Linked DNA regions of Tamandua tetradactyla. The protein of the gene in region 3 purifies or fractionates together with the protein of the main gene of each other region. This does not show direct contact. Links are inferred from orthologs where the notes say so. Each region holds a gene or a part of one and is shown on either strand. Other genes may lie near its edges.

Evidence for each region.
Region 1: the proteins of MINK1 (region 3) and STRN4 purify together in Homo sapiens (affinity purification with mass spectrometry; 3 studies listed by BioGRID and IntAct, with this or other methods). This does not show direct contact. The link is inferred for Tamandua tetradactyla from reciprocal best matches to the Homo sapiens genes MINK1 and STRN4.
Region 2: the proteins of MINK1 (region 3) and CNOT9 purify together in Homo sapiens (affinity purification with mass spectrometry; 3 studies listed by BioGRID and IntAct, with this or other methods). This does not show direct contact. The link is inferred for Tamandua tetradactyla from reciprocal best matches to the Homo sapiens genes MINK1 and CNOT9.

Annotation. Positions count from the first base shown.
Region 1 is NC_135342.1:14,477,393-14,487,173, forward strand, and holds the start of STRN4 (striatin-4), read left to right. Parts: upstream 1-5,109; 5' UTR 5,110-5,126; coding exon 5,127-5,408; intron 5,409-5,475; exon of another isoform or gene 5,476-5,503; intron 5,504-7,206; exon of another isoform or gene 7,207-8,615; coding exon of another isoform or gene 8,616-8,642; intron 8,643-9,781. Other genes in the region: ribitol 5-phosphate transferase FKRP, read right to left, coding at 1,664-1,804, 3,771-3,832, 4,255-4,286. UniProt on the Homo sapiens protein: Calmodulin-binding scaffolding protein which is the center of the striatin-interacting phosphatase and kinase (STRIPAK) complexes.
Region 2 is NC_135329.1:194,077,036-194,086,829, reverse strand, and holds the start of CNOT9 (CCR4-NOT transcription complex subunit 9), read right to left. Parts: upstream 4,423-9,794; 5' UTR 3,923-4,422; coding exon 3,899-3,922; exon of another isoform or gene 3,704-3,898; intron 1-3,703. UniProt on the Homo sapiens protein: Component of the CCR4-NOT complex which is one of the major cellular mRNA deadenylases and is linked to various cellular processes including bulk mRNA degradation, miRNA-mediated repression, translational repression during translational initiation and general transcription regulation.
Region 3 is NC_135332.1:60,562,370-60,572,240, forward strand, and holds the start of MINK1 (misshapen-like kinase 1), read right to left. Parts: upstream 4,317-9,871; 5' UTR 4,020-4,316; coding exon 3,963-4,019; intron 1-3,962. Other genes in the region: PLD2 (phospholipase D2), read right to left, coding at 9,562-9,786. UniProt on the Homo sapiens protein: Serine/threonine kinase which acts as a negative regulator of Ras-related Rap2-mediated signal transduction to control neuronal structure and AMPA receptor trafficking.

The DNA.
Region 1 (9,781 bases), on a different chromosome or scaffold from region 3:
TTTGTCAATGCTCATTCAGATTCAGGTTTAGTTATAGATGCCCCTCACCCCCATCCTCAAGCCCGCTTCCTTCCTCTCTACCATTCTCTCCTCCAAGAAGCCACCCCTGATCTCTTCTCCCCTTCCCTCCCACACCCTGCTATGCTGCAGCCTTGAGCTTTAGCCACCCCCCTGCTGCCTCCATCTCACTTCCTTAAGTTCGTGGGTCATTTTTTTCCTGATGGTCAGCCAAAGCATTTTGGTTTAGCAAGAAAAGCCAAAAAAATTATTTTAAGGCATAACTCTCCCAATTTTAAAATGCTGGCAGCTAACTGAAGGGAAGAGAAAGGGGGAAAAAAAAAAGGGTGGCATGGGCCGCATCAACAGAGGCTGTCAGCCTTAGGCCATCTACTCCCAAATGACCCCAGGTGGCGCTGTCTCCCCGTCCCACGGTGCCTTGTGGACTGGGCTGGTTTCCCAGGGCCAGGGGTGCAACTCTCTATATTCCCTATAGATGCTCAAAAATTTTTCACAAGGATTTTATTGGTCTCTGCCCCTGTCCAAGGGAGGGGACATCAGAGACCCAACCGATTGCCAAATCTGTACCTCCTAAAAACAATGATCCATGTTCCCCATTCCCACAGCTCTCCTCCTCTGGCTCCCCCAGTTCCCCACCAGCCTCCCCCATCCTTCTGCCCTGGTCCTGTCCCTGTCCCATCACCTTCCCTATGGCGACCTGAGGGATCTTCCTGAAGCACAAACCTGACCTGTCTCCCCCCTGCTCAGATCCTGCCCTGTGCCCTGGGAGAAAGTTTCAGCTTCTTACATCCCACCCACCCCTTCAGCCCCCTCTCCTGCCACGCCCCCTTCATGCTCTAAGCCTCAGCCACCTTGGACTTTTCTTTCCCCCAAACATGTCTTGTTTCTCGACCTTCGCAGATTCTGTTCCCTCGTATATAAAAGTCTTTTCTCATATGCCCCCTTCTTCCCATCCTCCTCCTGAAAAATTACTGAGGCTTCAAACCTTGGCTCAGAGGTCGCCCCTTGCTTCCCCATCCCAGCCCTGCCCACCCTCGGTTGTCGCTGTCTGGGGATGAATCTGTCTCCCCACTGGACTGTGAACCCCAGGAGGGTAGGGCTGGGAGTGTTTCAGCCACCACTGGGTCCCCAGCATGTGAGATTGCACTTGGTGGGAAAATGCTGGCCAGAGTCCGGGTTCCTTGTCTAAGGCCAAGGCAGCTCTATCCTAGCACCCACTCAGGTCCCAGGAGCCAAACTCTGACTTCATTGCCGTGTGCCGTGTGCCGGATCTGGTCTTCCTGCCTCCTCTCTCTCTCTTACCAGAAATGCCCTCCCACCTCTCTGCCCTTCCCAGTCCTGCTTGCCCTTCCTGGACCCAACTCAGATGGCGCTTGAAAACCCAAGTCACACTTGAAGAGCGATTCTCTAATTTTTATAACCTTGGCACTGCCTTCTGGATCTTAGATTGGTCCCACCTTCTTTCCTTCATCTCTTCAGCATGTATTTATTGAATTCCTACAACATGCCAGACACTGATCTAGGCACCGGGGAGACAGCAGTGGACGCACAAGGACAGCAGACCACATCCCAGCCCTCGTGGGAGTCACACTGTTGGGGAAGGAATCTTTGGAACCAGAGAACCTTCCGGGTCTTAGAATCTTACCATTTAGGTAGTTAGAAGCACAGAATGTCAGACCCTTAGTTTTAGAATCTTCATGTCCTTGAAGGTCACAGCAAGAGACCATCCTCCTGCTTCTGCCATGGTCCCCTACAGTCTGTTCACTGCTCTGTGCCCAGAGGGATCCTGTTAAAATCCGAGTGAGACCCTGTCCCTCCTTTGCTTAAACCTGTGGCTTAAGCCTCACCTGGAGGACAAACCAAGTCCTCCTCATGGCCCACAAGGCCCCGTCTGCTCTGCCCAGTCCCTCTCTGCTTTGCCCCCCACCACGCCTCACCAAACATCATTCTGCAGACATGATCAGATCACTCCTGTGGCAGTGCTGTCCCCTCCCAGGTATCCACATGGCTCCTCCCTCCTCCCAGGTATCCACATGGCTCCCACCTTCCCCCCAGGTATCCATGTGGCCCCCCATGTCCATGTGGCTCCTCCCTCCCCCCAGGTATCCACGTGGCTCCTCCCTCCCCCCAGGTATCCATGTGGCTCCTCCCTTCTCCTCAGGTATCCACGTGGCTCCCCCCTCCCAGGTATCCAACTGGCTCCTCCCTTCTCCTAGGTATCCATGTGGCTCCTCCCTCCCCCCAGGTATCCGCGTGGCTCCTCCCTGCCCCCAGGTATCCACGTGGCTCCTCCCTGCCCCCAGGTATCCACGTGGCTCCTCTCACAGCCTTCAGGTCTCTGCCAAAATGTCACCTGTCCAGGGAGCCTTTCATTTTAGCAGCCCTATTTAAACATTTATTAACCTCTTTCCACAGACTCCCTGTCCCCATCCCTCCTTTAATTTTTCCCCTCTAGTACTTCTCCCATAGACTTTACTTATCTATCTTGTTTACTTGCTGAGTCCCCACTGAAGGTGGAGATCTGTTTTCTCTGTTTTATTTCCTGGGCTCTCCCTAGCACAGAGCTCAGTAACTGGCATACAGTAGGTGCTCAATAAAATGTGGGTGGAATGAATGAAGTTCTTGAATTGTTAAGATGGGGAGACTGTGGCTCAAAGATGGGAAAGGATGCAGGGACCAGAACCCAGGTCTCTGCTGCCCAGGCTCTGTCTAGCTGACTCGGGCAGGAGTCACTGAGCAGGACCAAACCAGGTCCTCAGACTCTAGCTGGTTTGACACCCAGATAAAGAGGTGCTATCTACCAGTGAGGGGGTGAGGGGACCAGAGAGGACAAAGAAAGTCTTCTAGTTCCCTGACGAGGCTCGTCTTGGCCTCCCTAACTATAAGGGCTAAAACCCCTTCAATGGGGCCAGGCAGACATAATGACAATTTTGAAGGTCCAAATGTTTTCCATTTTCCTGAATCAGGGTGATGATAATACCAACAATTCTAGCAACTCACAATGTGCCAGACCCTCTTCTAAGCATTTTACACCTATTGACCCATTTAATCCTCACATTATGATTACATTGGAAGATGAGGAAACCAAGGCACAGAGGAGTGAAGTCACTTGCCTAAGGTCACACAGCTAGGAAGGAGAGGAGCCAGGATTTGACCCAAGGATGCTGGCTCCAGAAACTGTGATTTACACTAATAAACTCCACTGTCTTTCTTGGGTCCATGCAGGTAGCCCTGCCCTCAGTCTACCGTCAGTGTCCCTTTCCCAGCCCTAAGATGAGAGGTGGTTTCAAAACTGAATGTGGCACATTAATGAATTCAACTCATTAACTCTACAAACAGATATCTTTTCAGTGCCCTCTGTGCCAGGCACTGTGTTCTGGGGAAATGGAGTGAAGGAGGGAAGGAGACAGAAAAAAATCACACAATTACATATGGGGGCAGGAAACCTGCAAGAGGCTGTGATAGAGAAAAACTAGGGGGTTGCTTTAGAAAAGGCAGTCAAGGAAGGAAAGGCGAGTTAAGCTGAGACATCTGTCTCTCCACCCCCCACAGAGCAACATGAGTGGATCTAGACTTGCTTTGGGACTGGGTTCACCAGGCCTGAGCTCTGCACTGACCTGAGCCTCAGTTGTTGCTTCTGTAGAATGGGAGTGTGAGGGGTAGAGAAAGAAAGAGGCGCATGGGAAAGCCTTTGGGGACGAGGAAAGGACAGTTTCCATGTAAAGTGCTGGTGACACTGAGGGACTTCTTACCTACTAGGCTGCTGGCTGGGGGGACTCCAGGGGGGCAGTTACTGCCCGATTCAGCTGCACTGCTGTGGGAAGAACCAGAAAATCCCAAATCAGCCAATCTGCAGAACAGTGCACAGCTTCATTTTTACCTACAAGAGGTGACTAGAGCGTCAGGAAATCCTTTCTCTGGAAACCCCATAAGCTCAGGCATAACCTGGCGGGTCTCGGGAAGGGGATAGAGTGGGATGGGTAGGATGTCAGTAACCATAACAACCTGTAATGTGCCTCCACTGCTCCCCACCGCCCCCCATAATGTGTTCAGAAAGGTGGAACTGAAAGGTATGGAAGCTGTTACCATGCCGATGCCTTCCCTAGACACATTCCACCTAGAGAGACAATCCTAAATGTCCCCTACCTTGGTGGGCCTGGTTCCCAGGATCACCGGAAGGGGCTGCCCTTCCCCCATTACCAGAGTAACCAAGACTTGGCCTTGCTTGTTTCTCACCTCCCAGGAGATGGTCCAGGCCCTGTATCCATAGTAACTGTCCTTCAGAGCGTCTTCTCTAAATAAAAACACCTGGCTGGGTTTGGCCACTGGGCCTCCCACGATGGGAAGTGGGGGGAGATGGTTACCATGGTAATGCCAACAGAGTGCACTATGCCGGGGGAGGGGAGCCTGGGGCTGGGGAAAAGAGATGCTTCTCAGTGATCAGTCTATTTGAGGCTGGGGTCCTTTTTACCTGAGTGCTAGGTGAGGAGGGTTGCCATAGTAATCGATGTGGTAGGAGTAGAAGAATCCACCAGGGACTTAGGTTACCTTAGCAACCTCCTCCAGGTGCAGGGCCCGGAGAGGTGTGGGGCTCTATAACCACAAAGGTGAAGGAGGGGCTCTAGGCTGGTAAGGGTTACTATGGCAACCGACCTGGGCCAGGAATCAGAGGATGGGGTCACTGCTGAAACCACCCCGGTAGTCGCCCTTTCTCTCCAAGAGTGAAAGTGATTTTCAAGGGGCGTGGTATTTGGGTCTGGACAGGGTAACAATCTTTCCTTCGGGCGAAGTAGGAAGAGGGGGGCAGCAAGCGGACCCTCCCAAAGTCTTCCCGCTCCGAGGGGCGAGCCGCACACCGGCCTTGGTCTCATTTGCCCTCTGCGGGGCGCGCGCCCCTTCTTTGCCCCGCCCCTTCCCTCCGCCCCCTCCCTGCGCGCGCCTAGGGGTCCACCCGGGTGGGCGAGGCTCGCGCCCGGCCTCTTCTCGCTCCCGGCCCCCCCGCCCCACGCCGGGCGCGCGCGCGGGAGGCGGGGGGGGGGGGGGGCGGTTGGCGCGGCCGCGCAGGCGCGCGAGGCACAGCGGGCGCGCGGGCCGGCCTCGGGGCCTCCATGATGGAGGAGCGAGCGGCCGCCGCGGTCGCCGCCGCCGCCTCCTCCTGCCGTCCCCTCGGCTCCGGTGCGGGTCCCGGCCCGACTGGAACGGCCCCGGCCGCTGCCCCTGCCCCCGGACCGGGCCCGGCAGGTAAGGGAGGCGGCGGCGGCAGCAGCCCTGGACCCACCGCGGGACCCGAGCCCCTGAGCCTGCCCGGGATCCTGCACTTTATCCAGCACGAGTGGGCACGCTTCGAAGCCGAGAAAGCCCGCTGGGAGGCCGAGCGCGCCGAGTTGCAGGTGAGTGCCGCCCCGGGACCCCCGACCCCCGCCCGGCCCGGCCCGGCCCGGCCCGGCCCGGCCTCACCCGCCGCCGCCGCCGCCGCCATCTTGGAGCAATGGCCGCCGGGACAGCCGGGGGGGCGGGAGGGGGCCGCGACCGGCTCGGAGACGGAGTGGGGGGCCGTCCGAGGAGGGTCCTGAGAGGGCCCGGCGGCGGGCTTGGGGGGGCCCGGGGCGTGAGAGCGGCCGGGCCGTACAGAGGAAGGGGGCGGGAGGACTCCAGAACCAGCGGCGTGTAGCAGTGAGCGGTGCACCGGCGGACGGGTCCTGAGGGGAGGGGACCCGGGGCGGGTGGGGAACCTAAGCGAACTCAGGAAAGGATCACGAGGGGAGTTGGAGGGGTCGGAGAAAAACCCGAGGGGTCTTGCATGGCAGTGAGCAGAAGACTGCAACGGACTCCCCCCACCCCCACTCCCGGACCAGCCGAGGGTCTGAGATGGGGCTTGATGGGCCCCGGGTGGGTGGGAGGGGACGTCGGAGCGGCTGAGCGAGTCCCAGCGGGGAACCGGGAGAAGAAGTCCTCGAGCCTGGGGATGGGGTGTGTTTCGGAGCGTTCGGACCGGCGAAACTGGAAGATCGCTGTGGCAGGACTTCTGAGGGATCCCAGGGTGAAGGTGTGTACCTCCTCCTACGGAGGGGAAATTTTGGGGATCCCTGGCATGTATGGCCACAGAGTGTGGGAAAGAGTCCTTGGGATGGAAGTGTGGCCAGGACAGAGGACGCACCCTAAAGAGCCTGTGGGGAAGTGCTTGAGAGCAGAGACTCCAGTTTGGGGGTGCGTGCGTGTGTGTGTGTGTGTGTGTGTGTGTGTGTGTGTGTGTGTGTGTGTTAGGGGGATGGCTGTGAGTTGGGAGGTGTGTGAAGGGTGTCAGGTAGAGGACCCTGAGCTGGAGTCGGGAGGTGGGAGTAGGAGGGGGAGGGGGGGAGGGGTATGCCTAACCGGAGAGAAGGGAATCTGGGATGGTGACAATGAGGAGGAATTTGGAAAGGCAGTAGAGGAGGAAGCATCTTAGAAGGATCCTGGGGGGAGATGCATTTGCGGATGTTTCTGGGAAAGGAACCCATCCATGGTTTGTGGAGTAGCTTGAGAGAAGGTTGTGCCCTAGAGTGATGTAGACAGGAGTCAGAACTTGAGCTGTGTTGCTATGACCTTGGCAAGTGTAGGATCCATTTGCAGAGACTCTCTGGAGGAGTCTAGGGATCAGAAATGAGAGAATTTGAAGGGATTCAGGGATGGGGCATGAGGAGTCTGAGGGTTCCTGGGCTCGAATATTACTGGCAGAAGTTGTCAGTACCAGCTTCTGGTAACCCCTCCTGATTTGATTTTTTCTATCTAGCTGATGTGGGGACCCAAATAAATAACTGAGTAGAATATTGTCTACAGGATATAGAAAGAAAGCCTCCTTTCCCAATTCAGGGTTATGAGATTGCATCCCACAATTCTCCCACCTACACCGGGGATTTTGGTTGTGTGAAAACTGAGGCTTGGGGCTGGAATAGGAGAGGAATAAAGCATTTCTCACTTTTGTGTCCCACGCTCTATTTCCAAAGCTCTTTCTTAGTTTACATCTCATCAGATCATCTCAACACCCCATGAGGTATCTATAACAGCACTTGCTGTTTACTGAACACTTGTTTTATGCCAGGCTGTGTGATAAACACTTTATGGACATGTTAGCGTTTAAATGTAACATTCTGAGAAAAGTGATTTTTGTCCCCCCCCCCTTTTTTTTTTTTAAAATAATCGGAAGAGAAAACCAGTGCTTTCAAAGGGTAAATTATGTATCTAGGATCACAGCCAGAAAGTGGTTTCAAACTCTTGCTCTATACCTCTCTGTCACTCAGTACGATGCGAAAACTGGCCCAGGGAAGCACAGCGACTTCCCCAGGGTTACCTAAGCAGTCACAGCAGAGCCTGGACTGAATCCCAGTCTCTTGGGCTCCATGCTAGAGCACCCCACAGCACCCACCACACCACTTTCTCATCTCGGAGACTAATGGGCAAATAGATGTGTATTTTATTCTCTCACTCAGAGACCCTTCATGGAGTTTGAGAGGAACTTGTGGGTAGCATTCAATTAGACTTTCTGACATCTAGGCTCTAGCATCACTTACTTTGTACTTAGATTTTGTTCTGTTACATAGTAGTAAGTATTCAAATATCTCAGATGTGTTGTGTGTGTGTGTGTGTGTATGTGTATGTGTATGTGTAAAGGGAGAGTCCCCTTTTCATTCTTCATCCCTTCCCTATTCCCTCCGCCTTTCTACCCTGTTATTGCTATGAAGGCAGTTCAGAGGATTTTTGTGTTTAATATATGAAATGAAACTGCATATATCATTTTGTGACTTTTTTCCACATACTTGTTTGTTTTGGTGTTCTTTTCCATATCAGATCAGAGAACTCTTCTTTATTTTTGATTACTACCTCCCATTCATTGATTATCACTGCAATAGTTTACTTGGTCCTTGTTGATGGACTTGTAGGTTGTTTCCAATTTTTCACCATCAGAAACGACTGCAGTGAATATCCTTATACTCCTGGGTGAGTGTAAAGAAGAGATGGAGATAGGGGTGTTTATATACTGCTGGTTGTTTCCCAAGTTGCCCTCCACCAGTTTATGCTCCCACCAGCAGTTCCTCTTTTTTACACACCTCTAGTAAAGCATTGATCACTTACCAAAGGTGTAACTTCTGTGAGAGCCTTTAAGGCCCAGATGGTGTCATGTGTTTCTGACTTACTGTGGATAGCTTCTTGGCATCTGTGAAAAAGGCTGTTCCTAACCCAGGGCCTCCTGTGCACTCAGTACTCGTGCTCAGTAAATGTGGGTTGAATGGCAGAAGAGGCAGTGCTCTGTGAGGGCCTGCCATGAGGCCCCCAAAGTTGGGAGCAGGGAGGTGTTGTAGAAGCAGGCTGGTAATAAGCAAGAATTTGCAAGGGAGTTGGAGTTGGGGGTTCCCACAGATAGGTGATGAGGTTTCTGTCCTTCAGGAACTTCCAGGCCAACTGGGAAGGCTGGTTTACACAGGGTGCTACAGAGAACTGTCCAAATTTATGCACAGTTGAGTTCTTGATTTTGAGTCTCTATGTTCTGTGCATTTCTGAGAAGGGAAGCTCTTTGAGGACAGGAAGAACTTCTTGGAGTGAAGGATTTCAATGGACATTCCATGCAGGAGTTGAGAGATGGAGATGCGGTAAGCATGGCCCCAGCTGAGAAGGTGGGGGGCTGACCCCTTCCCACTACCAGCCTCACACAGGGGTCCTGAGAAATCCAGTGGAGACTTATTCCTACTAGGAGCCTCGGCGCTTAGACAGGAAGAGTATGAGAGATGCAGGGCTAGATGGGACTCTACGGGGAACCTCTCCCTGGGGTGGGACAGGAAGGTTAACAGAAGGGACACAGAGATGTCAGCCTCTGGGGGCAGGCTTAGATGGTAAGTTCCTCTGGAAGCCTTTAGGTGCTGCTTCCCCATAGACAGGAAAGATCCGGAGGAGAGATGGCAAAAGTGAGGTCTCAGAATGGTTTGGGTATGTGTGTGGTCTGTCATTCTGGCCAGAAGGATTGGCAGGGAAAGGATATGATAAGAATACCTCTACTCCTTCACGGCTCCCCCATGTCAGGCAGCGATGGCTGCTTTCATGTGTGGTGATGAGAAGGATTGACCACAAAACTTCCCCTGAGGCACTGGTGGTTCTCTTTGTTCCCTTCCTGCCAGAGGAACTGGAGAGGGGATGACAGAGCAGGCAGAGTGAGATCTTTGTATTGTAACTAGGAGAAGGGAGATAAGGGCTTGATATTGTGGCAAGTGGGAGAGCTGGGTGTGATTCATTTTTGGTTTGTGGTGGTGCTGGCCTGATTCCCAATTCCACTTTCTTCCCCAGATGTTACCTCTTGGTGACATCTGGTCACCATGTCTTATCAGTCATCCCTCCTTGTTATCTGAAATCCACTCAATCGTCCCCACCCCAAGCCTAATCTAGGCGACTATCATTTCTCCCTTGAATTCCTTTGACTTCATCCTGTGACTAGTCTTTCTGGCTTTAGTTTGTCCCCATGCATCGGTTCTACACATTATGACTCGAATTGCCTTAGTAAATGCAAATCTAATTGCATCTCTCCTTTGCTTGAAACCCTTCCATGGTTTCCCCTGTGCTCTTAGCATAAATTCAAACTTGTTAATGTGGTCTGTGATCTTTTGTTGGACCTCTGGCTTCTCTAACTTCCCTTGCTAGATCTTTTACACATCATCATCCTGGCATACTGACCTTTGAATTCCTTAAGCCTACCACCCAACTCTGGTCTCTTTCATCTGATGGTGATATGTTTCATCTC
Region 2 (9,794 bases), on a different chromosome or scaffold from region 3:
AATTAAACTATAATAGGTATTATTTTTCCAAGTCTGGAGGTGAGTGACATGGCTTTGGATGTCAACGTAATTATGATATTTCCAGAAAATGAACCTTCACAAATAGTGCTAAAAGTAAAGGATTAAATTGGCTTAATCACCCTCATATCTTTGTAAAATACAGGCCAGAATGTACTTCAAAGTAACTTTTAAAAAGTGGAAATGAGCAAACAAAAAGAAGTTAGGCAATTTGCCTAATGAGAGACACAGGAAAAGAGAATTTGAATTAGATCCTCCAGAATGCACAGTGTTCTTTCTCCCCGCCAAAAAGGAGGGCATCTGAGAGTCCATCACAGCTTCAACAAAATTATATAAAATGAGGAATGATAATGCTGGCGAGGATTTAGGGATGCTACAATTGTCAATGGGAATTAGCGGAAACATTTTTTAAAAATGCATACCCAATATATCCCCTGAAGGCTTATCTTTGGCTGTTTCAGATCCTAGAATAATATTCATTAAAGACCCTTGGTAAGTGAAGATTTGCGGTTCTATTAATATGAAGCAACCTCCAAGGTCCATAACAAAGTAATCTGTTACTATGTAAGGCAGGAATTAAAGTCCCAAGGCTGAAGTCTAGTAGCAACACATTTAACCAGTGAGTGAACCCAGCCATCTACTGTGTACTCTGTTATTCTTAATCAATCTTTAGAACTTTAAGTGGTATAACTGTTCTCATTTTTATAGATGAGAAAAAGAAGTAAACTATATTCTATGGTGGTTATAAAGAAGGATGTTAGGACGTATTCCCTCAAGAATGACAACTCAACTATACATTTCTAGCATAATAAAATACTACTCTAAAGTCAAGATTTAAGCTTCAACAAAATGACAAAAAAATTCCCAGATTATCTCAATCTGTCCCTCTAGTAACAACCCACATTCACATGATCACATCATCCACAATTGAAGTAATGACTTATGTGCCATTTAAAGAGAAAGATAAAGGCATATACAAATACAAATTCTCGTAAATTGGGCAAAAATAAGTATCTTCTCAAGCAGCTTAGATTACTATAGACAATGATGCATATATTATTAATTTGTCCCAATTCCTAGTGGTTGACAGACATCTTTACTATTTCTTTACCCAAATCAGAATAACACAACACAGGCAGTTTGTTCTAATGGAAGGCATGAAGAGTTTGGAAAGAGTTGACAACTTTTCTATGCTCTCGTTTCCTCACAAACCAAATATTCTAGTATATGAATGTAAAAACGAATTTGTTGGAGTTGTTGTGTGGTCCTAACAGGTAAAAGTATATCTTAATGTTCAAATTTTCAAATAAATGTAAGGCATTGTAAATTTAATGGAAGAAACATGCTTGTGGGCTTATACATAATGAACTACAGCTTTGTTGCTTAAAAGATGCATTAGGAAACAACGGAAAATTAAAGGAATTGAAAAGGTATTGTGTCAGTTTGAAACTATTATGTACCCCAGAAAAGACATGTTTTAATCCTGATCCAATCTTGTGGGGGCAACCATTTCTTTTCTCTTTTTTTTTGGCACGGGAAGGCACAGCCATTTCTTTTAATTTCAATTCAAAATTGCAGGGCAGAAACTTTTGATTAGCTTATCTCCACGGAGATGTGACGTGCCCATTTGTGGGTGTGACCTTTGGATTAGATGAAGACATGACTCCACCCATTCAAGATGGGTCTTATTAGTTTAATATAGTCTTTTAATAGGGGAAACATCTTTGAGAAATCTCATATGCAGATGCTTGGAGGACAGTTGCTTCAGAGCCGAAAGAGAAATGCTCATTTGGAGATGCTTGGAGTTCTGACAGAGCGAGAGAGAGCAGGTGCCTAGACATGGGCAGAACCCAACAGCCATACCATGTACCTTCCCACGAGGGGCTAGAGGTGACCAGAGTTGTGTCCCAGAGGAGCTAAACGAAGGCCCATAGATGCTTAGAGAGGAAACCCATTGGCATCAGAAGCTGGAAGCAATGGAATGGAACAAGGACCAGTAGAAGCCAGTCACATGCTTTTCCATGTGATGACATCAGCTTTTCTTGAACCAAGGTATCCTTTCCTGGGTGCCTTAGTTTAGACATTTTTCTGGCCTCAGAACTGTAAATCTGTAGCAAAGTAAATTCCCTTCGTAAAAGCCTTTCCATTTCTGGTACATTGCATCTGGCAGCTTTAGCAACCTGATTCAGTATACAGTTTAGGGGACACAGGGAAGAGTGGCTTGATATCAGAAGTACAAAACCTGGAGAAGATATAATCAGATTTTGAGAGCTGGATAAGTCAACCTTTGAATTTCCCTCAGTTTAAACTGCCTCTCCCCTACCAGCAACTTTACCTTGTGACTGGGTAGGAAAATCGTAATCATCTAATTTGGGAGATATAAAAATTACCTCTCTACTTTGAATAGATATAAACACTTAGAAACATGGTAATGGGAGGCAGATACGTCTGCCTGTGGAAACGGCAATGAGACCATAAAGATCAAATCTCAGAAAGCAATATTTTCTGCAACCCAGCCATATTCAGCTCACTTTTTTTCCCTCAAATTTAAAACTAAGGCAATTTTGGGTGCCCAATGTCATTTGCTTGGTAATGCAATTCCAGTACATTACTATCTCCTTAAATCATTCATCTTGGGGAAAAGGATGTAGCAAATGGTCCCTCTTTTTCCCATTATGGCTATGTGCTGTCAGTGGTCATCTCCCTCATCAATATTCCTTCAACCAATGAAATATTTGAATCCTTACTTTGTACCAGGAGCTGTCCTGGCACGGGGGCAATAACTAACACAGGACTCTATAATCCCTGTCCTCAAGGGGAAGACAGACAAAAAAAAAAAAAGTAAACGAATACAATAATTACAAATTGGGTTCAGTGCATGAAGAGTATTCTATCTAATAAAGCTCCAGAATACAAAATTACTGTGAATAGGGTGGTCAGGGAGGACCACTGGTAGGTATATTTAGGTGAAATCTGAGGGATGAGGAGGCTGTTATACCCACACACTGTACATGGGAGAGAGAAACAGGTAAAAGCATTCCAGGCACAGAGACCAGAAAGTGCACAGTTGAGTGGAAAAGCGCATGAAGAAGGGATAGAACGGTGGCCAGTGTAGCTGGAGCTTACTTATAAAGTGACATGAAGTTATAAACGTGGGTAAGGACTGTATCATACAGGGCCTTGTAGGGCATGGTAGGAAGTCTGGATTTCCTCTAAGCGCAATGGGAAGTCAGAGTAGTACTTCACACAGGTGAACTACATGATCCATATTTCTTGTTTATCACGCTGGTGAATGGTGAAGCCTGGCTACTTTACGGTGTTTGAACGAGAAACTTTCTCACTGTCAGAAAAGCTTTAAATGCAGAGAACCAAAAGTCAGATGCAATAATTATTCACGTTTCCATGTCTCATATTTTCCACCTGTAAAACAAGTCGTTTAAGCTAGAAACCATTTCCTTCGCGCTGCGATGTGCCTAGGCGGTGAGTTCCGAGAGGACAGGCCGCATCAGGTTTGCCATCGCAGTGCCCTCATCCCTGCCGGCGCCCGAACACAACTGGCGCCTTGAAACTGTCGGTCAGCGCAGTGAATCAATGAACGGCTTGCCCCAGCCGCGAGGAAGGCGCTCCGGGAACCGGACCAGGCCCCGGGGCGGGAAAAGAACGCGATGCCCGGCACTAGAGACCAGGAAAGCCAGTCGGCTGGGAAGGTGAGGGCCGGCCCTACCACAGCCAAGGCGCCTCGAGCAGGGGAACCGGAGCCTCGCGGGTGGAGGGCGGAAGGAGCTGGACTGAAGGCCCGATACAGAGAGCTAGGAAAGGAAGCCGAAAAGTGGGGCTGAAGAGGGACTCTGGGCCCAGGTCAGTCGAAACAGTCACTCACCGCAGCAGTCGCCAGGCTGTGCATGTTGGGAGCCGCCGACGCTCTCCTCCCACCACCAGACGCGACCGACTCGCGTCTCCGTCTCAGCGCCGCTGCCACCGAAGATGATGAGCTGCCGCAACCGCCATCCGCCAACTGTTCGCTCCGCCCCTTCGCAGCCCTATGACCTCTCACCCCTGAACCCGCCCACACAACCTCTTCCCGCCTCCTGGCCTCTGGAGGAGTTAATCCTAGACTATGCTCTTTGCCCTTTAAGACTCAAGGCGGAAAGGACATCCACGACCTGCGACTCCCTGCATCCTCCGACATCTAGTAGGTAACCCCAGAAAGGCGTGAACTCTATTCCTATTCCGGAGGCCCGTGAAGGGCGGGAAAAACCGGACTCTCTCGGGAGGACAATTAGTGCGCATGCCCAACTAGAACTGAGTAGGAGGGAAAGGTTGGGAGGGCGAAAGCGGGTGAAATAGAAAGTGCTCATGCGTACTACTGTCACGGCAGGGGCGGGACTACCTGGGCTCAGCATCTCTTGGTGTTGGGGGGAGGGGGGAGAGGACGTACGAGGGGCGGAGCTTTCAAGCTTCCGCGCACGCGCCAAGCCTAGTCGCGTCGAGTGTGCGTGCGTGCGTGCGTGTTTGCGTACAGTCACAGTTCCCGCCATCAGCTGCTTTCCCTGGCTAGGGGGGAGCGAGCGACCTAACTCCTCCGTGTTGGTGTCCCTTCTTTCCTTGCCCCCGCCCCTCCCCCTCCACGCGGATTCTGTGCTGCCGGCGGCCTGTTCTGGGGCTCCGGACCCGAAGGCACAGGTAAGGCGCCCCAGGCGAGCTTCTTAACTGAGCCGTTTCCTTCCCCCTCCCCCTTACGTGTTCCGCCCACTCGGCGTTCTCTCTTCTGGAGTTCGCCCCGCTTTTCTCAGTCAGCCCCCAACCCTTCGACGCTCTCCCAAGGCGTCACAGGTACTCCACTTGGCTCTTTCCTCCAGGCTTTCCCTTTCTTATGTACTGGTATTTATTGTCAGTCTTACCCTCCGCAACCTGAAACTGGCCCCCTTACACTGGGGTTGTCGTCATCCGGCACTTGCCCCTTAAGGCCTGCCATCTCTTCAGGTGACTTCCGTTGCTGCACATCCCATCAGGTCTTGGAGGTGAAACTCACTCAGTCTCTGGGCCAGTCTTCACTTTCTTTCCCCTCTTAACCATCAGTCGCTAAAAATCATGAATTGTAGTTTTGTCTTGCATTTTATTGGTCCCTGTCTCTAAAGCCATCAAATCAGGTTGTCACGTTACCTATTTTTATTTTAGATCATGATCTGTGGAAGGAAATGGTAGTCGACCACAGAGTCCTATGTTCTGGAGAATTGGCCAACAGTGGTTTTGTGGTATTCTCTTCAAAATTTCACCTCTTGTAAACGCCTTTTTTGGGTGATAATTTATGACGGGCCTCTAACTGGAATCTAAGAGGCAGTTGGATATAGTGTTGGAGCTCATCAGAGTTCTAGACTGGAAATATGTATCTCCAGTAATGATGTTTATATATGATATGTGTTTTTGTCATTTGCCATATTCGTAGTAATTGAAGTTATGAATGTGGATCCAGTTGCCCAAAGAAAATATGGAAATGGAAGGGATTTAGCTCATAGCGTTAAGAAATTGGTAATATTTAATAACTGGATATAGGAGGATGAGTGTTGGAGAAGAGATGAAATAAGTCAATAGTGTTGAATTGAGGCCTGGAAAACCTGTGACATGGAAGTAATCTGTGATCTTTTTTTTGAACTTTTCATTTCTTTTTTTTTAATTAACTTATTTTTTAAACATAACATACAAACACGAACAATCTTACCGTATGATCATTTCCTTCTTGATATATAATCAATAACTTACAATATCATCACACATTGTGTATTCATCATGATCATTTCTTAGAACATTTGCATCGATTCATAAAAAGAACACAGAAAAAAATTCATACATACTATACCCTTTACCCCTCCCTTTCATTGATCACTAGCATTTCAATCTACTAAATTTATTTTAACATTTATTCCCCCATTATTTATTTATTTTTTATCCCTATGTTTTACTCATCTGCCCGTAAAGTAGATAAAAGAAGCATCTGACACAAGGTTTTCACAATTGCACAGTCACACTGCAAAAGCTATATCGTTATACAATCATCTTCAAGAAACATGGCTACTGGAACCCAGCTCTACATTTTCAGGCAGTTCCCTCCAGCCTCTCTGTTATGCCTTAGCTAAAAAGGGAATATCTATTTAATGCATAAGAATAACTTCCAAGATAACCTCTCTACTCTGTTTGGAATCTCTCAGCCATTGACTCTTTATTTTGTCTTATTTCTCTCTTCCCCCTTTTGGTAGCGAAGGTTTTCTCAGTCCCCTGATCCTGATCCCAGCTTATTCTAGGATTTCTGTTCCACATTGCCAGAAAGGTCCATACCCCTGGGAGTCATGTCCCACATAGAGAGCAGAGGACAGTGAGTTTGCTTGTTGTTTTGGCTGAGCTGAGAGAGGCCACATTTGAGTAACAAAAGAGGTTCTCTGGGGGTGACTCTTAAGGCCTAATTTTAAGTAGGCTTAAGCTTATCTTTTGTGGAGTTTAGTTTCATATGAACAAACCCGAAGATTGAAGGCATGGCCTATTACTTTGGTTGTCCCCATTGCTTTTGAGAATATCAGGAATTCGCCACATGGGAAAGTTGAATTTTCCCCCTTTCTCGCCATTCCCACAAGGGTTTGCAAATACTTTTTTATTCATTGTTCATATCACTCTGGGGTAATCCATGACCTTAGCAGGAGATGTTTAATGTGTAAAATGGAATATTTGGGTTCAGTCTTAGGTCCTTTTATTCTTATCTTCCTCCCTAAGCTTTAAATTCTGTCTCTATATTGATCACTGAAGGATTTTTATTTCCGGCCCATTCCTTTTGTGTATATGTGTGTGTGTGTGCGTGCGTGTGCGTGTGCATGTGCATGTGCACTCCAGATCTAAATAGCCAACTTCCTGCTTAACATCTCAACTTGATTTTTTTTCCTTAGGAATTTCAGATATAATGTGTAAAATCGAAAATTTTGGTTTCTCTTCACTTTTAATTCTTTCTTCTCCATTTCCCCATTTCATTAAATGGCATATCCATTTATCCAGCAACATTAGCTAGAAACTTGAATCATTCATAGCTTCCCTCTCATCCCATTTATCTATTCCCTCTCCAAGTTCTGTCTTTTCACATGTTTACATATGTGTGTGTGTATGTATATGTGTATGTGTGTGGTATATGTATATTTTGAACTTGTCTGTCTGCATCTTCACTATCACTTTTCTTATTCAAGCCACAATGTTTCACCTGGGCTTAATCAGTTCCCAGTATTCTTATTTGTAACACGGGAATAATAAGAGTTCCCACTTTATTGGATGGTTATGGAGATTAAATGATATAACTGTGGTAAGCACTTCGCACACAGTAAATGCTGATTGTTATTGTAATTGCTATAAGCTGAACAGTGTCAGTATGCTTTCTGGTTGCCCTGTCCATTCTTGCTCCTTTCCACTCTCCTCTCCAAACCCAAACAAAATCACATTACTTTTCCATTCAGCATGATGTTTTCTGATCACTAAGTGCTTATTACATTTAGAAAAAAAGTTTTAATTTTCGTGACTCTGCATAACATGGTTCTTGCCTGCATATAACAGCATCTTGCAACATTCTCCTTTCCCTCACCAAGCTTCAGCCTTGCTGCTGCTTTTCAGTTGCCCCAAGTTCTTTCCCATCGCAGCGCCTTTGCATGTGCTATTCTGTTTACCTGGAATGTTCTAACACCACTCTCCATCCCCTCAAATTCATTCTTCAGTTTTCTGCTTACGTGGTACTTTCTCATAGAATCCTTCTCTTTATGCTCCTTACCCTGTGCCCCTAAATCTCAAATTAGATACCCTGTTATAATCTCTTTTCATGCCCTTCATATCATTTATCAGAACTTGTAATTATATGTTTGTTTCTATGATTAAAGTCTGTCTCTTACTTGAATATAAGCTAGGGACGATTTTATTTGTATTTCTTAATAATTTGTTGAAAATAAATAAATTAGTATTTGCTCTGAGAACTAATCATGTCTTTTGGAAGAGCTAGCTTACTGATATACTTGTCAACTCATGACAACAATTTTTTCATTTTGCAAAATAGATTAGAAGACACAAGAGACAAAAGCTTGAACAGCTTTGTATCACTTTAGTCGTTCTTATATCATAAAATCATTCAGATTTTAGACTTATAATTGGACTTAAATTTATCTAGGCCAACTTCCCTCACTGTCAGCCAGACCACTAATTTTATCTCTGTGTTATTTGTTGTATGGATCTTTTTAGGAAAGAAAGGCCTCAAAAATCAGGACAGTGATTTATATATTTGAACAACAGGGTAACTAAGACACTTGAAGATGAGGTTTCCATGTAGATAAAACAGTATTCCATTTATAAGTCAGTTGGTGATGGATGTGGGAGGAAATATTAAATTTTAATAATTGTTGTTTGTGTAGGATAGGATTTGTGTTTAGAAATAGGAAATGTGTGAATGACAAGCACAGAGAGGCATTTGGATTTATTCTGTAGGTAGTGATGAGTTATTTAAAATGTTTGTGAGGAAATTAATATTGATAGAAAAAATTTAGCACCTACTAAGTGTTTGGTATTTTGTTGGAATACAAAAAGATGTGACTCCCCCTACTCTTTACCCTCCTCCCCCCATTCTGGGAGAGTGTTAAGGAGACAATTAGTCCATAATGAATTGGGAAGATATCAAAAGAGTAGTTCTTTTAGAATGATTATTGTAATATAAGTGATTCGTTGGGTGGAAAAATCCTGAGAGAATGGAAACTGGAAATCAATTGCTGCAGTTCATTGATGAGGATAGAATATGGTAATTTTTAAAGTATGGGCATTAGACCTAGTTTTATCTCTTACTCTGTGATCATAGATAAATTACTTAATCTCTAAGCCTTTCGTTCTTATCTGTAAAACAGAAAGCAGTAATCCTTATCTTTTGAGATTACTGTGAAAATTAATTGAGAATGCACTGTGCTTAGTAAATTGCATAATAAATATTGGGTGATCTGATGGCAAAGTGATGAGTTTCTGAATTAGGGTAGTAGCTATGAAAAGGCTGGATTCTTGGGTTTTGGATACTAAGCTATCTTGTATGAGTGGTGATAGGCAGACAAAAGTAGAGAAGTCTGGGGGCCTCTTTATAAGGGCATAGACTTTCATCTTCACATTTGTTTCTCTACAACAGTGCCTTCAGATTGGTGTACCTCAGTAAATGATTTTTTACCAAATGAACCAATGAGTTAAGATAGGAATAAATTTGAGAAACAAACCCACAAAGTTTTGAAAGAAAAGTTAAAACTCCAAGTTTATCATCTTTAAAATTTGCATAAAAATATCATAGAAGTACTGTCTTAATACTTAAACCATCATTATGTAATAATGTCTATAAAGTCAACATAGGATAAACTCTTTTTTACTGACTTCTTAGTTTCAAAATGTAACAGAGATAAGTAAACCAAGACACAAATTGATCAAGGTGCAGGCTCCTGGAGTCCCTCATTTTGCATAACATATATGTTCTTAAAGTTATGTTCATAGTTTGTGTGTATGTGTATGTTGAACATCATATTTTAAATGTTTTCAGTAAGGTAGTTTGTGGTTTTTAAATAATCAAAGGATTAATGTTGCATAAATGGCCACTTTTTTTTTCAAGTTTTAATTTTGTATATTGGATTCATTTAAAAAGGCACATTTATATTTTCTTTATCTCAGTTGATGGCTTCCGGAGAACTGGCATAGCTGCAGAATATGAGTAGTTCCCCAAGAAGAGTGCTTTGCCTTTG
Region 3 (9,871 bases):
CTCTGCAACCTTCCTCCCGTTATTTTGCCAAAGCACCATCTCACTGCACTCCAAATGCCACCAGCTCCCCAAGCTGCAACTGTTCCCACTATATGCAGTGCTCTACTGGGAAAAAGACACTACTTAATGCCATTACTGCTGCTGCAGATCAATCTCCCCATTCCCTTGCCTAAGGTATCTATTATCAATATTTGGACAGCCAGCACATCAGAAAATGGTAGCAGCCTAGAAATACATTCCCAGAACTGCCAGCTTTCCAAGTGATACTAGCTCCACAGCCACATGAAAAGGAAAGGAAGAGAAAGACTTCTCCAAAGAAAAAACACAATAACAAAAAATCATTTGAAAGTGAACATCTCTGTCAGCAACTACCACCTAGCAACAAGTCCCTCTTAACAGTGCTCTAGCTACTGTGAGCACAGCTTCATTGTTGCAAGAACACTGCAGTCTAAAACTTCTATTTTAGCTGGTTGGACCGTAAAGAGAAGATGTTTGATTTATGAAGTGGGTCAAGCAAAAGGAGGAATGAAAAAGGAAAGAGGTCAGCCTGGGGTCTTCCTCCTCCATGTCTCATCCACTTCGGTAAATGCCAATACTTATTCCTTATGAGAAGCCAAGAGTTGCAAGTCAGAATATTCTTCTGGAATATAACCAAGCTTGGACTCAGAGAAGGTTTGAAACAAGAGGCCCAAATCTTCTCTTGGATGATTCTAACTTTACTTCAAAGGCATCTCTCAGATGGAGGCTTCCAGAATTCTGTGATTCAAAAAACAACTCAGAAAAGATAATTCTTAATTGTGTGTATATAATAGAGAGGCAAGAGGAAGCCTAACAAGCCTGACTAATGAATTCTTTCTCTAAACAAGCTTTGTGCTAAGAGCTTTCACTTGTTGAAACATGCAGTTATTCAACAAACATTTCAGCCCCCATTAGGGGCAAAGCACTGGTAGAGACACTGGGGATGCAAAACTGACCAAAACAAAATCCTAGCTCTCACTGAGCTTACATTCTACTCAGGGTGGACAGAAATAAATATGTTAGTTGCTGCTAAGTACTTTGAAAAATATATAAAGCAAACAAAGGGAGTGCTATATAAAATTTTATATAAAATACATGAAAATAAAGCAGGGGAGGGCGTGCTATTTTAGAAATAATTGTCCCAGAAGGCTTCTCTGATTGTAATTTGATAACATTAATAACAAAGGTCATCATAGGGTGACTATGTGCTGGGAACTGGACTAAAATCTTAATGGCAAGTATTTCATTTAGTCCTTAACAACAATGAGCTCAGTGCTATTACCATCCCCACTACATAGATGAGAAAACGAAGCCTTAAAGAGGTAAGGCTCTATGCCGAATCTGTAGTGAGTAAGGGGAGAAGGGGGAGTAAGGCCATGGTTACACAGTAAGTGAGGAAGCCTGGACTTGAACTCAGGGTTCGGTGCTGCGCTGGCTTAGAATTGGAGCTTCAAAGAGGTCAGGTGGGGCTGTGTATCACAAAGTGACAGCCCATCTAGGCTTCCCACAAATGGCTAAGAGTTTAGTGCAATTCAGTTATCCTTACTATCAGACTTTTACTCTCATCATCAGTTGAAAATCAAGCCTTATCTTGAAATTACAGGAGAAAGACAACTTCGGCTCTTTAAGGCCAGCTAATAAATGCTGAACATGTTCCTGTCCTATACCCCCCCACCCCTCTCAACACAAGATGATGGAGTGAAGGGAAAAATGTTTTGCTGCTAATTCTCCAGGTTTCCATTTCTCACTAAGAAACAGGACAGAACAGAAGATGACAGAGCTAGCAAGAGATGACAGTGCCACAGCAGTTTTCTGAAATGGAATGGAGGGAAAAGGCACTGGGAAAAGGTCAGCAGCAAGGAGAAAGGAGGCCCTCTCTAGCCCCATGTTAAAGAAAGCACACCTTTCCCTCAAGCCCTGGAATACTGGGGTGGGAATGGGGGAAGGGGAGTGCTTTCCTAAGAAGCATGAGGCAAGGCAGACAGAAGCACTGGGAGCATGTCACCTGGCTCTCCTGAGGGAAGGAGAGAATAAGGCAGGAAGCAACTAAGGAGGGAATAACATTGCTTCAAGCAGAGAAGTCCAGAAGGGAAATACCACATCCAAGGTCAGAGGATTCTTGCAGAATTGCTGGAAATCCCAAAATGAGGGTCCAGGCGAAACTATCATGGGAGGCTAAAAAGAAAAAGAAGCCCAAGTAGAGTCCCACAAGGTTCAAGCCAAAGGTCATGGTTTGGACCCACCCATTTTTTAAACTGTATTTCAGTTACTACAGCCACAGGAACCTGAATAGTCAGAGTTAATCAACAACCAAATGGGAAGGGAAGATAGAGCACATAAGGGACTTGAACTCAGTCTGGATTTCCATCTTATACTCCAACTGACTTAACTTGAGAATCCCAGTTTAAACCCTGGTGAGCGGACCTTAAAGAATCTTCCTCCTAAAGCCTTCAGGCCCGCCCTGTGCTGCCACCCTCCCCCTGCCCCCGCCCCCAGCAATTCAATGCTTAGCCTTTCTCCCTAGCAACTTATCACTTCCAGCAAGCCATATCTCAGCCCAACATTGCACCAAACAAATTATGACCTGAATGGCAAGAAAAAAAACTGTGTCACCTAGAGAAACCCAATTAACGACGTGACTCTGCTCTCTTCAATTCCCTTCTCCCCTCCAGTCATATCCGGGGCACCTGCATGACTGACCGCCTTTTCCCGCTACTGGCTGTTTCCCTGGCTAAATCAAAAGCCACGAGTCAATTTGAACAGGACCTCCAGTAAAGCAAACCTAGAGGGGAGAAGCCCTGCTCTCCCCACACCTTAGTCTGCTGAGAAAGCTCCAAGGGCAACTTTCCTGGCTGACAGTCTGTGGAGTATTCACCTTGAAACCACTGAGTTGCCCCTTAAGTCAAAGCTCCCTGCTGAAGGAAAATGAGTGAATACTACTGAAAGCTCCTCAATGTCAGAGACCCCATGAGAAGCAATAAACGGGTATTTCGAAGAAATTCCTGCTGCAGTTGTTTCCCCTCACCAGCCTTTCTAATTATTTCCTCCCTGGATAGATTTCCAGGGCCTGCTCCTCCCACCAGCCAACATACCCACCGCTTTTCCAAACCTCCTGACTGACCACAAGCAGCACGTTTTGTGTATGTATGTACATATAAACATCCTCTTCTCAGCCCATGCTAGTTTCTGAAGAGAATAAATGCTTCCCCTCCTCCCCCAGTGCACTTGTCTTTCCTTCCAGTCCCACACTGCTGCAGAGTTGGTAATGTAATATTCAAGGACCCTGACACCGGAAATGCCTGGTTCTGGACTGCTACACTTGAAACAGGAGAGAAGGGATAGGGAAAACTGAACAAGGAGATGAGGGAGAAGGTAGAAGGTGTGCGGCGTTGTGGGGAGGCTGAAATTCCGACCAGGGAGGAGATGCAATTCAGGGGTGGGTGAGGAAAAGAAATGGTGATGAGGGGGAGGCTGTCAAGATGAGTTGCGATCAAAATTCGTAGGGGAGAAACAGGAAGAGAAGGAAGGATAAGTAAGGGTAAAAGTGGAGAGAGGGTCAAGAAGAGGTAAGGGGCCAGAGAAGATTCTGCAAAGATGGGGGGGGGGTATAAGTTTAGAGGAACTAAAGGGTGGCCCTCAAACTGGGAGGGAGAGGTCCCGTACCTCCCAGCAAAAGTAGGGGTGGTAGGGCAATGTGGGGGCGGGGCACCACAGGGTGGGGACCAAATTAGCTCCCAGAATCTGCCGCGAGTCGGGGGGGGGGGGGGCGGGGTGCAGAGGGGGAGCCCTGCAGCACGAGGAGCCCGGGAAAAGGGCAGTGGTCGCGAGGGGCACGAGGCTGGCGGAGGGGGCTCCCGGGGAGCATGTGAGGCGTGCGGCCCCCTCAGTCTCCTACAGCGGGGTTGCGGCCTAGGTTGAGGCTGGGGGGGGGGCGGCGAGCTCACCCGCAGAGCGGACAGGTCGATGTCGTCCAGGCTGCGGGCGGGGGCTGGGTCGCCCATGGCCTCTGCCGGGAACCGGGCCCCAGGGCCGCTCACGCTCCGGCTCGGTTATTCCACTGCCGCCGTCGCCGCTTCTCCCCCATCGGGGGACCAAGGGGTCGGGCTCCACCGCGCCTCCCCCGGAGATCCGGGATGGGGGAGGGCCGGCAAGAGGTCCGACCCACCGACTGACAGGAGCTACCGCCCGGAGCCTGCAACCCGAGCCGCCCGACTCTCCTGCGCAGGCGCAGAGCGTCCGTGTACCCGGAGGGTGGAAGAGGGAACGTGATGCGAGCGCGCCGGGTTCCCCCTCCCCCTAAGCGCCGACACCTGCGCGCAGGCGCAAGAGAAAGAGCGAAAGGCGCGCGCGAGGACTTAGCGACCGCACAAGCCTGGCGTGAAAGGAGTGGGCGGTGGCCGGGGCGGCCGCGGAGCGCGCCCACCAGCTGGCGCGCGTGCGCACGCGCGTCTCCTTCCCTTTTCCTATTTTTTCGTCTTCCCTCCCCCATTTTCCTTTTAGAATTCTGTTGGTGCCTTGCCTTTCTTTTCCCTCCTTCTTTCGTATGCCCAGCTGCCAATCAAGCCACCCACCTATCTAGTTGCGGGGGAAGGGGGGCGGAATCCAACCCCCTTTATTACTTGGGGGGTTGTTATGGAAACTCCCCACGCGAGGGCTGGGTAGCCTCTAGATGGGATGGGCTGTCTGTCCACCCACCCAATTGCCATGGCAACAGTGGAGCCGCTGTGGGAAGGGCCTCTGGGTGAGAACCTAGGGGAGAAGCCTTGTGGGGGGGGGTGGGGACAACTAGCAGCCTCAGAACAGACCTTTACCCCCTTCCCTACCTGGCATGGGAGCATTGAAAAGGGGAAGTCAGATCTCAGGATAGGGATTCCTACCGCAGACGTGTATCTCTGCACCTTTCTAAAGTTCCTTTGCACAAAGGAACTGTTTGAACATTTACTCACTGACTGATCACTAAAACTGCACCGGAGGAGAGTCAGGGAAAGAGGAGGAAGCTGTCACCAACTCCTTCAAATCTCGCTTGGGTCACCTTCGATCTAGTCATGTTGGCACAACACCCCCAGTCATTAGCCTCACTGGAGGCTGGAAAATTCTACCTAAAGAATAAGGAGTCATATTCTGCTACTAATATGCTGTGTGACCTTGAGCAAGTTGCTTTGCTTCTCTGGGCTCTTCTTTCACTAAAGTTGAGGGGGCAAGGCTGTATGATCCTGAAATCCCTTTCACCACCACAGTTATCTCTGAAAACCCCCCCCACCAGCCTTAATATAAACATTACCTAGGAAAGTTTGAAATTAAGGTCTTTGGAAATGGGCTGAATACTCTCCTTCCTTGGCACATTAAGTGGACATCCAGTCTTGCCCTCCCTCTCAATTCCTATTTACACTGCCACTGCCCTTATCTAAGCCACAATCACCGCTTGCCTCCACTACTATCAGCAAATTCTCCAAACCCAGAATAATTTTTCTGAAACTCAAATTTGATGCCACTCCCCTGTTTAAGACCCACTGTCTTCTAGGTAGAGTTAAAGACTCAAGATTCTGCCAGTTTCTTCTGCCTTATTATATTTTGGCATTTTTCAAATATAAGAACAGTTGTAGGTTTACAGAGAAATTATGCCGAAAGTACAGAGTTCCCATATAGGACCCACAAACATGCACACACAGATTTCTCTGTTAAAATTTTGTAAGTATGGTAACTTTGTTACAATTGATGAACCACAATTATTATAATTCTATTGTTAACTTTAGTCCATAGTTTACATTAGGGTTCACTTTTTGTGTTATACAGTTCTATGGGGTATTTATTTTTATATTCTGGTAACATAAAATTCCCCATTTTAATCACTTTCAAGTATGCAATTCAGTGGTGTTAATCACATCCACAATGTTGTGCTCCCATCAACACCACCGGCTCCCAAAGCTTTTCCATCAATCCAAACAGAAACTCTACCAATTGAGCATTAGCTCCCCATACCCTCCCCCCACCCCTCTGGAAACCTGTATTCTAATTTCTGACTATAAGAATTTGCATATTCTAATTATTTTATATAAGTGAGATCATACAATATTTATCCTTTTGTGTCTGTCTTATTGCACTCAACAAGGCTCATCCACATTGTCTCATGTATCAGCACTAGCACTTCATTCCTTTTTTACAGTTGAATAATATTCCATTTTATGTCTACAACATTTTGTTTATCCATTCTTCTGTTGATGGACAATTGGACAGTTGGATGTCTCCACCTTTTGACAATTGTGAACAATGCTGCTATGGAACATCTGTGTAGAAGTCCCTGCCTCCAATTATTTGGGGTATATATCTTGAAGTGGGATTGCTGTGACATTTGGTAATCCTATACTTAGCTTTCTGAGATACGCTAAACTGTTTCTCATGGTGGCTGCACCCTTTCACATTTCTGCCAAAAATGTACAAGTTTTGCTATTTCTCTACATCCTTGCCAATACTTGTTATTTTTTATTTGTTTTTAATAGTAGCTATTCTAGTGGGGGTGAAGTGGCTACCTTATTTCTTAATACTCTGCCACTAAACCTGATATAGTCCAGCCATACTGAGCTATTCTATTTATACATCCCAAAATTCGATATACTTTTCTCCAGGCTTTGCACTTTATTTCTTCTCCCTGGAGTACTCCTCACCTCCTGACCAGCTCACTCTCATCACTCTTTGCCTTGTCTTCATGGCTAAATTGCCTCTTTCAAAAGGCCTTCCTTGACCCACCAAGACTGATTTTGGCCCCTCTTCTGTCAGCTGCCAGGTTTAAGCCCATGGTAACATTAAACAATTTGAATTGTAAATGTCTTGTTGAATCTCCTTTAAGGCAGGAATGAGGTCAGTCTTGCTCAGCAGAGGGCCTGGCACCCACTAAAAGGTCAATAACCCTTAAGTGAATGGAGGCATCCTGTTGTCTGGGTAGGTACCGTAAAAACATGGTAACTCAAGGTCAAGACCATTAGCTAGTACGGTAGGAAAAAAACAGAATTTGAAGTTAGCACTTTGGACAAATCGCTTATAACCTCTGTGAGGTTCAATTCCATCGTGAATAAAATAGGGATGATAATTTCTACTTTATAGAGGTAAGATAAAATAAAATTTGGGACATAAACCCCTTGGTACACATTAGGTCTTCCCCAGCGCCTGATACACAGAGTGTTTAATAAAGAGATACTGAATGATTAAGCAAATCAAGATTACAGGGATGGGATAAATGGTCACCAAGCTCGAGACAGTGTCTTCTGAAGGGGACAGAGAAGCAAGACTGGTCCTCAGTTGGTAATTTTTGAAGCAGGATGATGGTGTGATACCTAGATGCATGAGCCTTCATTATGCTAGCCTTTACTTTTGTATTTACTTGAAATTGCCCATAATTAAAACCTTAAAAGAGACTATGTGGTGGAGTGGAGGGAGTCCCGGACCATGTGTCAAAAAATATTAAAAATAAGACCAATCATAAGACACCTGGAAAGGGGGGCAAATGAATCCTTTGCACAGACCCACCCATCTTCAGAGCCTCCCAACTCCCTTGGGTGGTTGGACTCATTCTTTCAATTCCAGATCTTCAGCCAGTTCTCTTGATTCCAAGACCACTGCTTTTTGGCCCCTGCGCTGTGTAGACTCCATTCAACAAACTCCAGGCCTGACTGAGGAGGACAGCTGCATCCACAGACAGTGTGGAGAAGCAGCTTACCTAGAGCTTCGCCTAACCTGGGGCAGCTGCTGTCTCCACCTCACTCCTCAGCTAAGGAGGTAATGGTCCCCCTAGGGGAAGAGGCACTTACTGCTGATAATGAGGCCAATTAGTAGAATTCCAATTAGCACCGGGAGACCACTACACCAAGTGGGAGGGGGATTTTTTATATGGAAGTGGCTGCTAGAGAGGAACAGAGGGCTGGAGTCAAAAGAAAAGATGAGGGCCAAGCAAAAGCGTTCCCTCTCTGCACGGTATCACCCCTCTGACCCTTCCCTCTTCCAGGAATGCTCCTAACTTACTAGTCCCCTCCATTTCTTCATGCTACTAGGATCAATTCTGAAACTTGGAGGGAGAAATGAGGCTGGAGGAGTGAAGGGCAACAGCCAGGGCCTGCACTAAACCTTTTTAAATTGTTATTATTTCAAATATTTCAGACATATGTAAAGCTTATATATATAATAAAAATCTGTCTACCCACCACTCAAAGAAATGTTACCAGTTTAGTCAAGGCTCTCGATATACTTCTTATCTTTCTCTCCACCCACCCTGGGAGGCAACCCCATCCTCTGTCCCAGGCCTGCTATACTCTTTCACAGACTATGCCATTTAGTTCTCTCTTCCCCTAGAGCAGCGTTGTTTACAGAACTTTCTAGTGATGAAAACAATCTGGGCCTGAGCTGTCCAAACACGCTGCCCACTGGCCATGAGTGGCTATGGAGCCCTTGAAATGTGGCCAGTGCAACTGAGGAACTAAATTTTTCAATTTTTTGTTAATTCTAACTCATTTAAATTTAAATAATCAAATGTGACTAGCGGCTACCATCTTGGACAGTGAGACACCAGAACACAGCACCACGAGGCGGGGAAACCTTGTCTGTTATGCTCGCTTCTGAGTCGAGAACGATACCTGGCAGATAGTGGGTACTCAAGAAATGTTTTAGTCAAGGCCTGAATCCTTGCAGCAAGTCAGGCATTTAAATATTATTCTCACTGGGGACCATCAAGGCCCAGAGAGGGGATGTGGATGGACAAGGTCAAGTGACAAATCCAGGATTTGGATCTAGTTCTTCCTGACTGAAAGCCCCCACCCAGGCATCGCTGTGTGAACACCTCCTTCTCTCAACAACCCGGTGACCGAGATCCCGTAGAGCGGAGAGGGAAATGGGAGAACAAACAAAGGAATGGGCTGGAAAAGTTCCCCTCCCATGGATGAGGTGAAGGGCACCAGGGCTACATATGGGCAGGGAGGGGTGACTGAGAACAGCACTCAGTTCCACTGAGGAAGAGGCATGGACATTTTTTTTCACTTTTATTTATGAAACGCTTATTGGACTGATACAAAGTTAGTGTCTGTCAGTAGGCTGGTGGAGGGGGTTAGTGTGGCCCCTCCCAGGTGGGGCTGAAGCCTGAAGGCGGTTTCACCCTTCCCCCGACCTTGGCAGGAAGGGGCTAGGGGAAGCCCTTGAGCAAAGAGAGGCTTCAAGGGCAGGAGGAGAGGAGAGATGGGGAAGGCCCAGGACACAGCCCCCTCCTTCTGGAGTAACAGGCTTGACCCTGGCTTCCTGCTCCTCTGTAGCAGTGGCTTCAACCAGACAGTGGGGAGGCTGCTCTGCTCTGGGACCCTTCCTGCCTCCCCAGCCTAAGGATGGGAGCGCCCTCTTTAGCTGCATTCCAAGGGAGGGCCCTCTCTGACTTCTCTAGCCCTGTCAAGGATGCCTGCCTTCCCAGGTCTCCAAGGGCACTGCCCTCAGTTGTCAGGGGTTAAGGGGCAAGGAGCCAGACGTGGTGGAGCCCAGTGGCCAGAAGCCTCTTCCCGTCTGGAGCCTCTGCTATGTCCACACTTCTAGGGGCATCACACCTTCCTTGCTGCCCAGGGGGGGCAGCAAAGACTCATCCTCCAGAAACTTGAGGGGGAAGTGAACAAGGTGACCCTGGACCTGGGTGAGCTGAGACCGTGCCAAGGGAGGGCTGACCAAGGCCAGGGGCTCCACAGCCACGTACTCCCGGAGTGCCCGCATAGAGCGTGTGGCGTTGGACGGCAGGCAGCGGAAGATCTGTGGGTGGGAGGGACATGGAAGCCAATATGGCTTGGGAGACTTCCCCAAGTCCTACTGGGCTGGACTCCCTACTCTTCCCCAC